Linked DNA regions of Oryctolagus cuniculus. Each later gene encodes a partner of the first gene's protein in a complex. Links are inferred from orthologs where the notes say so. Each region holds a gene or a part of one and is shown on either strand. Other genes may lie near its edges.

The links.
Region 2: the proteins of COP1 (region 1) and TRIB1 are in contact, whole or in part, in a crystal structure (PDB 5IGQ), measured with the Homo sapiens proteins. The link is inferred for Oryctolagus cuniculus from reciprocal best matches to the Homo sapiens genes COP1 and TRIB1. Residues at the interface, in NP_071902.2 of Homo sapiens: Ile423, Ser425, Val441, Lys472, Tyr491, Trp517, Asp534, Ala556, Asn557, Cys559, Ala576, Asp577, His578, Lys600, Ala601, Ser603, Thr618, Lys643, Asn644, Phe645, Phe699; in NP_079471.1 of Homo sapiens: Asp355, Gln356, Ile357, Val358, Pro359, Glu360, Tyr361.

What each region holds. Positions count from the first base shown.
Region 1 is NC_091438.1:4,281,233-4,285,038, reverse strand, and holds part of COP1 (E3 ubiquitin-protein ligase COP1), read left to right. Parts: intron 1-3,047; coding exon 3,048-3,183; intron 3,184-3,806. UniProt on the Homo sapiens protein: E3 ubiquitin-protein ligase that mediates ubiquitination and subsequent proteasomal degradation of target proteins.
Region 2 is NC_091437.1:151,043,469-151,048,052, reverse strand, and holds the start of TRIB1 (tribbles homolog 1), read right to left. Parts: upstream 2,905-4,584; 5' UTR 2,161-2,904; coding exon 1,792-2,160; intron 1-1,791. UniProt on the Homo sapiens protein: Adapter protein involved in protein degradation by interacting with COP1 ubiquitin ligase. The COP1-binding motif is masked by autoinhibitory interactions with the protein kinase domain.

The DNA.
Region 1 (3,806 bases):
AAAGTGGACTGAGAACTGCATTCTATGTGGAAGAGAGTTCTTGTTAACGTTTTCCTGTTATTTGATGGTACTATGTCGAAATACAATTGTAGACCATGTGGCAGTTATTAAAAAACAAAAAGAGTAGAAAAAGAGATTGAGGTAGGCAACATTATTAATTTTTTTAAGAGATTGATTTATTTGAAAGGCAGAGTTACAGAGAGAAGAAGGGAGACACAAAGAAAGCGAAGGATCTTCTGTCTGCTGGTTCACTCCCTAAATGGACACAACAGCCAGGACCAGGCCAAACTAGGAGCTTCTTCTTGGTCTCCCACGTGGGTGCAGGGGCCCAGGCACTTGGGCCATCCTCTGCTTTTTTTCCAGGCACATTAGCAGGTAACTGAATCAGAAGCGTAGTAGCCAGGACTGAAACCTGCTCCCATATGGGATGCTGGCATTGCAAGCAGTAGCTCTACCCTTTATCCACAACGCCAGCCCCAATAATGATCTTTAAGTCACTAGCACGATAGGCATGCTATACAGCAGTAAAGGTAGTTGAGAACACATAAGAGAGGTGATAGGTCAGCAGATTTGTATTAGATGTTGATCGTAAAACAACCAAGCCAACAAAATCTTACCTTTTCGTAACAACGTAACTGAAAGTTAATTGCTATTCTTTTAAATACTGAATTAGTTTTATGGTTCTGTTAATGAGCTTGCATAATAAGGAAAGGTCTAGTTACCATAGAAAAGGATTATGGACTTCAATAGAATACATATACTTGAATGCTTATGATTGTGTATTCTCAAAATAATTGATTAATGTTAAAGCTTTATAAATGTAAAGTAACTATCTTTCCAGTATTTATTATATTATACAATAATAAAACTTAAAAGAACCAATTACCTATTATATTCAGGCTACTCTATAGTACAGTGGATGATTTTTTTTTCTTTTACAGTAACCCATGTTTTATGTATAAGTTGTTAAATTTCCTGGAAATAATTTTTTGGAATAGGGGCTTTATCTTGATATCACTATGATATTAAATGCTAGTTAGGTTCTTTCTTTTGTTTTTAAAATAGAAGCACTACAAACTTAGACATTTGTAATACAGGTTGATAGATTTGCTTAGTGTTTAAATCTTTACAGTTTGAAAAACATCAGAAACAAAGGCTTACTTAGTTTTCTCAAGTATTTATAATTTTGTGATAATTTTAAAATTTCTACATGCCAACAGTTATTTTCAAGATAACCTTAGCCTTCCAGATAAAATAAATTTTTTGCATGTATGTCATAGTCTTATAAGTCTTTCAAGTGAATGATTCTTTCATCTGAACTGCATTGCAAGTGCCCACTATCACCTTCAGATGATATTTAAAGAGGGGAATTATGATTGTTTACCTAAAAAAAGTTGTATGTATGTATGTGGATAAGTGTAAAATAAGGAAGAAATTATGGAAAGATAGTCTGTAACAAACTTTTTTAATCTAGGAAGCTAAAATAACGGTGTTGTTCTTTTCATTCTTTGGAAAGAAAAATATAAGTCTGAACTTCAAGTGATTTTTTTTTATTAGCACTTTCAATATAGGCCTGCAGACATACTGCAACATAGATTAGCCTTATTTATTGTCAGGTACTTCCTAAGCTGATTGTATGATTTAATGCTACATGCCTTGGCTCTGAGTGGTTTGCTGAAGTGGTACTTATAGTATTTATGCAGTGTTCTCATGGACAGAATTACTGTTGTATTCTCCACCATGACATTGAGTGACAGTGTTTTTTTCCTTTATGATAAATGAAAGTCACTTCAAATATTTTTAATTTATGTTTGAGGATTAGTAATTCATACATCACAGTTTCTTATTGTGTTCTTGTAACAGGATTTGAAACACTTGAAAGTATTATGTGAGCAAATTTTTTATTTTTATTTTTTTAAAGATTTATTTTATTTGCCGGCGCCGTGGCTCAATAGGCTAATCCTCCACCTGCGGCACCGGCACACCGGGTTCTAGTCCCGGTCGGGACACCAGATTCTTTCCCGGTTGCCCCTCTTCCAGGCCAGCTCTCTGCTATGGCCCGGGAGTGCAGTGGAGGATGGCCCAAGTGCTTGGGCCCTGCACCCCATGGGAGACCAGGAGGAAGCACCTGGCTCCTGCCTTTGCATAGGCACGGTGCGCCGGCCGCAGTGTGCCGGCCGCGGCGGCCATTGGAAGGTGAACCAACGGCAAAAGGAAGACCTTTCTCTCTGTCTCTCTCTCACTGTCCACTCTGCCTGTCAAAAAAAAAAAAAAATATATATATATATAAGAAAAGAAAAAAGATTTATTTTATTTAATTGAAAGAGTTACAGAGGGAGGCAGAGACAGAGAGAGAGGTCCTCCATCCGCTGGTTCACTCCCCAGATGGCTGCAACCGCCAGAGCTGCGCAGATCCGAAGCCAGGAGCCAGGAACTTCTCCCGGGTCTCCCACACAGGTGCAGGGGCCCAAGGACCTGAGCCATCTTCTACTGATTTCCCAGGCCATAGCAGAGAGCTGGATTGGAAGAGGAGCAGCCGGGACTAGAACCGGCACCCATATGGGATGCTGGCACTCAGGCCAGGGCTTTAATCTGCTGCGCCACTGCGCTGGCCTCATGAGCAAATTTTGTAAATTAAAAAACTATTTTTGTTTTAAAGTATATAAAGTTTGAACAGGGCTTTGGCAATAAATAAACATGGGTATACCCTGACTCGTGTATATATTACTCTTCCCCATTGTCAGAGATTTTTACTCTAATGAATAGTTTCTCTTCCCCAGAACCATCTTTTTTTTTTTTTTTTTTTTTGCTTTTCCAAGAAATTATGGATAAAAGAAAGAAAAGAGAATTACTATTGATGTTGAAAGACACATTCTCTGTAAAGAGCCACCAAGACTTTTTAGTAAGATCAAAAGTTCACATTAATTTGTGCAAACTAGTCTTTTAAAGAGTGCTTTTTGCATTTAGAATATATTTTTCAACCTGTGACTATTGATCTTTGACTTAACTTTATAATTGCATTCATCTGTTTTGTTTTTGTCATATAGATGACAGTCGAACTGCAAGCCAACTGGATGAATTTCAGGAATGCTTATCCAAGTTTACTCGATATAATTCAGTACGACCTTTGGCCACGTTGTCATATGCTAGTGATCTCTATAATGGCTCCAGCATAGTCTCTAGGTAAGTGTTGAGCACACTCCTTACTATTATCATTTGTAAGAATACTAAGAATCTAATTGTATTTTAATATCAAGTATAGCATTTTTATTAAACACCTGAATTCTGAATTTATCTGCCAACTTAAAGTTTTGTGATCTTAGGTAAGTTTCTAAATCTCCCTACTCCTAAATTTGTTCATAATGGAATGATTAATAGTATCCATCTAACAGGATTACAGTTGGTTCTCTTATAGTATTTAGGTCTAATTTTAATCACAGGTCTACACTTCATTTTTCTGGAAGTTAGTAAATAAAATAACTATCAAAGGTTATTTATAATATTGACTTCATGTATACACTGGTCTATAATTATGTGGCTATACCTTGTAATTCAAATGAGAGCTCTCTAGTTGTGTTGATCTGTGTCCCAGAACATCATGAATTTAGCCTGTATTTTCTTCTTCCATTTAAAAAATATCAAAACTTCTTTCTTAATATCATGTTATAATAATAGCATCTCTAGAAGATGTGAGATTGCTTTTCATTCAAAAATGAGAATCATTCCTTTTTTGTCATTACTTGAAAGCCCTTTTAGCTTGCTTTAGTATAATCCTGGATTTTAAAAAATTCTAATAAAGTTTGATC
Region 2 (4,584 bases), on another chromosome or scaffold:
CCCAGATCCCCCAGGGAGCCGGACTGAAGTGCTCCATCTCTGGGCTTTGGGGAAGCTCTATGCATGTGGCTTCCTTATCTCTGATGCTGCCCCAGGGACCCCTAGTACCCTCACAGCCAGTGACATCTAAGGCTAGCAAGCATCCAGAGAGCTACCCCCCCCCCCATGAGCGGTTTCAAAGAACAGTCTTCTGTGCCCGCCTGTCAGTCTTCTCCAGGGACCCTGAGAGCTAAGCCCCCAGAGCTCCCACCCACTGGGGCCCTTCCCGGTTTGCAGAGCACGCGGGCAAGGGCCTGCAGGAAGTGCATGTGTCTCCTGCAAAGGCAAAGGGTTCAGCCCAGAGAAGGCACCGGCCCGTGACTCCGCAGCCTCCCAGGGGAAGCGGGGGCCACAGAGCTGTCAGAAGGAACAAATGACTTGGCTGGACAGCCTGTGACCGGGCAGCACTAAGCGACCCGCCTGCCGTGTGACTCAGGTGCAGCCAGTTCCCACAGGTGGGGTACTGGACCGTCCCAATGGTTTTTCTTTGTTCCATTGTTTGTTTAGGCCCCCTCCCACCCACCCCGCTCCAGGAACCGGCAGCATCTCCCCTAAGAAGCTGGCAGGTCTCTTTAAGGGCCCTCTGTTTAGTCCGGTTACTCATATCCTAGACTCAACTGGAAACGGTGACACACGGGCTGTCACCATCTGGATTCAGCTATTATCTGCTTGGAGGAACTGGAAGGGGTTGCACAACGACCAGACCCACCCCACCTCTGAGGCCTGGCTGCCTCCTGCTGCTGCCTCTCCGCCTCCTATCCCACCCCACAGCACACACACACACACCCGCTTTCCCCAGAACAGCTCTCAGCCCCAGTCACCGAAAAAGGTTTCTCCCCGCTTAAAAACCTGGGCTTGGTTGTACATTTGCAATTTCATAAGGGTAGGACGGTAGGTGGCAGCAGCAAGCCCTGGAGGAAGGTTGGGGGGCGGGGGCAGAGGGGCGTCAGGTGAGTTACAGAAAATCCAAGAGCAAGTTTAACTTGGGGGCGCCCAGCCCGGGTGGGCGGAAGGCGGCTCCTCAAGGGGAGCCTGCGACCGCAGTGCCAGCCTCCAGGGGCGGGGACGGCCGCGGACCCGGCGGGTTCTGCCTGTCCCAGTGCCACCTCCTCCTCCCTGCGGTGCAAATGCAAACCGCTGACCGGAAAATAAAGTGAATGGAAGCGAGGACGCCTAGCGGGCGGGGGGGGGGGGTTCCCCACTTTCCGACTCCGGGCAAATTCCCCCCGCCGCGGCTGGAAGACCCCCCGCCCCGGACCGGCCCTGGGCAGGGCGGTGTTCGCGTGCCAGCGCGGGCTCCCGTCGGAATCCCCAGGGCACGGGCCGGCCCAGGTCTTCCCAGCCGCAGCGGAGCCCCGGCGAGGGGGCGGCCGGCTGCTCCCGGCTCCGAGCAGGCACCCACTGCGGGGCGTCCTTCCAGGGCAAGGGCGGGCGGGCGGGGCGGCGAGGAGAATGAGAGAAGGGGAATGGCATGGCCCTGGAATCCATTGCAATTCCACAACTTATATGGGAACGCCACGCGCTAAACTCAGCGCCAAGCAAGGACTATAAAGCAATTGAACCCTGCACTTCCGCTTGCCTGCGAATCCCCCCTTTACACCTCTCTCCAAAAGGGTGAACTCGGTCAATGGCCGCCTGGTCGGGCTCCCCGCACCAACCCGCCCTGCCCCCAAGCCCCCCGCGTCGGAGGGACGTCGGGCACCGCGTCCCGCGCCCCCGATCCCCCCGCCGGGTGCTCCCCGGGGCGCCTACCTTGCAGCGCAGCTCGCGGCCGGTGTGGATGCACAGCGCCCGGGACACATGCTCGCGCTCGGCTAGGGGCAGTAGCAGGTAGTCCGCGATGCGGCTGGGCCCCGGCGCGCTCCCGGAGCTGCCGCCGGCTCCCGGCGCGGCGGGCAGGGGCTGCGGGCTGCACGGCGAGCCGGGGGGGCTGAGGTAGTCCGGGGGGCTTGGGCACTCGGAGAGTCGCGGGCACTTGGCCGCCGCCGCCACCGCCGCCGCCGCGTCGTCCGCATCCAGCAGCCGTTTGGTCGGGGTGCCCCGAGCGGCCGGGAGCAGCAGGGCCGGGCCCCGGGGTTGCGAGGCGCCGCTCATGGAAGAGCGCACGGGACCGGCCCGCATCCCGTCCCCGGCCGGGGCGGTCCCGGCTTTGTAAGTCCCCGGATCCGCGCAGGAAGGCGCTGCGGGCTCGGCGAGGGCGCCGCGACTTCTTCCAGCCCGCGGGATGGAGTTTGCAGAGCGGGCTTGGCTCGGCCCCCACAGGGGCCACAGCGGGAGTGGCTGCTCGGCGCTGTCGGGTGCACACGCGGAGACCACGCTGGCTCAGCGGCCGGGGGGCGGAGGCCGGCTCAGGTCCTCGGACCCCCGCGGCCGCCGACTTGGGGCCCCCTCGCAGGGGGCGGCCGCCGCTATTGTTGCCGAGGCTGCCGACCGTCCCAGAGGCGGCGGCGGCCTGCGTTCCCGGGGTCCCGGGCCACGAGCACAGGATTCCGCGGGCTGCGCAGAGCCGCGGAGCCAATGCACGTCCCGGAGCAATCAAAGCCGGAGCAACTTTTCCGCGGCGCCCGGGGGTCCTGCGCGCGCTCCTGGACTGCGGGCGTGTGCGAGCGGGCGCGACGCGCTCGGAGAGAGTGACTGAGTGTGAGTGAGTGTGTGCGCCGCGCCGATCCCGGCCAGCGCACTCCTCCTTCTCCTTTTCCTCCACCTCCTCCGCCTCCCGGTGACTCACGCTGTATACACACACACACTCACAGGCCGGCCTGTGTAAACAGTTGGGGAGCCGGGTTGTGCAATGAGGTGGCCGCGACGACTCCGGCTCCGCCACCCGGCGAGCAGTCCCCGGAGCGGAGGGAGGAGACTGGGGGGGAGGGGCAGGAGGCTGGGGGGCGGGGGGTGGCCCGCGGGCCTGGGATGCTCGGAGCGGCGCGCGCTCGGGCGCAGGTGGTGCGTCCCGGGCCGCCCGGAGCGCGCGCACTCGGCCCCCGGGCTGGGCAGGGCAGGAGGCGGCGCGCGCCCTCCTTGCAGGCCCCCGGCTCCGCGCGAGCGGCCGAAGGAGGGGGCGGAGGAAAAGTTCCCGTGACGTCAGGGTCTCGGGGAAGTGGGCGGGAGGGCGGGGCCTCGGGGGGCGAAGCGGCCGCTGATTGGTGCGCGCGCCTCATTCACAGCGAGCACAATGGGCCGCGGGCACGCGCGGCGCGGTTCTCTGCACCCGCCGCTCGCTGCGGTCCCGCGGTTACGCCTTTGGCCCCGGGGATCCCCCCGCAGCCCAGCACCTGGGGAGCTCCGGTTGGAGCCGTGGGCGGCCAGGCTGCAGCCAGAGGAGAGGGGTGGGGGTGCGGAGGGAGCCTGGGGAGGGTGATGAGTTCCAGAGACAGTCATTCACCCCCACGCGGTAGTTCCGGGGAAGACCTGTGCGTGGTAGTGGATGTGGCTCCCCCCTCCCTTTTCCTGCCTCCTCCCAGCTCTAATCCCCAGCGTCTGTTCGCTTCCACAAATAGAACCTTCTGTTGGACGAAACGAAAGCAAACACGGGGCCTTCTGCGCCGCCTCCACCTCCTCGCCGCCCGGGTTGCACGGAAATAGCTTCTCCAGGCTCCCGGGCCGCCCCTTCGCGGTGACTCGCAGAAAGAGCTTCCTGAGCCGGGCGGGTGGGAAACAAAGGATGTGGGAGCGGGCGGAAGGGGCCCACGTGGCCGCGGCCGCCGGATCCCTGCCCCTCCCCGGGCCTCCGCACGCGCCGCGGAGTCTGGGGCGCGGGTGCCAGCCTGGGCATCGGGGTAGGTGGTGTGGAGGAGGCGGGGCAGTCATTGCGGCCACGGCCCCGCGGACGCTGCAGAGTGCTTAGGGTGAGCGCAAAGTGTGCGCCAGACCCTGCGCCGAGCTCCGTGAAAACAGCTCGGAATCGGAACCTGGTCAGTTTGGAGCCCCTGAACGCCCAAGGCAGGCGACCTTGAACTTCTGCTAAATCGTTAACTTTCTAAAACCAGGTAGAGCCCTAGGAATACATCCATTTCCTTATTAATTCTCCGTGCATTCAACAAACACTAAGCGTCTACTAAGGGCTAGGCGCTGGGGATTAATAGATGAAAATTAAAGCAGCAATAACAGCTCGAATTAGATGCGGCCTCCAGGGTGGGAGTCCCTGTGCCTAGCGTGGAACCTGTGGGACCACCACCACCTCCTCTAGTCCACGTCACGGAGGAAAACACTGAGACCCAGAAAGATGGGGAAATAGCTCACCAGTGGTGGAGCAATTGAGCACTTAACATCATTGGGGACCCAACAGAGAGATGGCAATTTGTAGGGGAAAAGAGGCATTAGGGAGGACTCAGAAGACCCTTGAGCTGGGGTCCAGTGGGACTGTGTGAGCGTTGCTCAGGTCCGGGTGGCTGTGAACAGTGCTGGTGGCCAGCCCAGGCAGGGGTGTAGGGAAGAGCCGGGTTGGCTGCAAGGGTGGTGGGGAGCTGAGCCAGCCCAGGCCGTCTGAGAGGTCGAAGGGAGGGCTCCAGCAGCACGCTTCGTTCTGTGGCCAGGAGGGAGCCCACC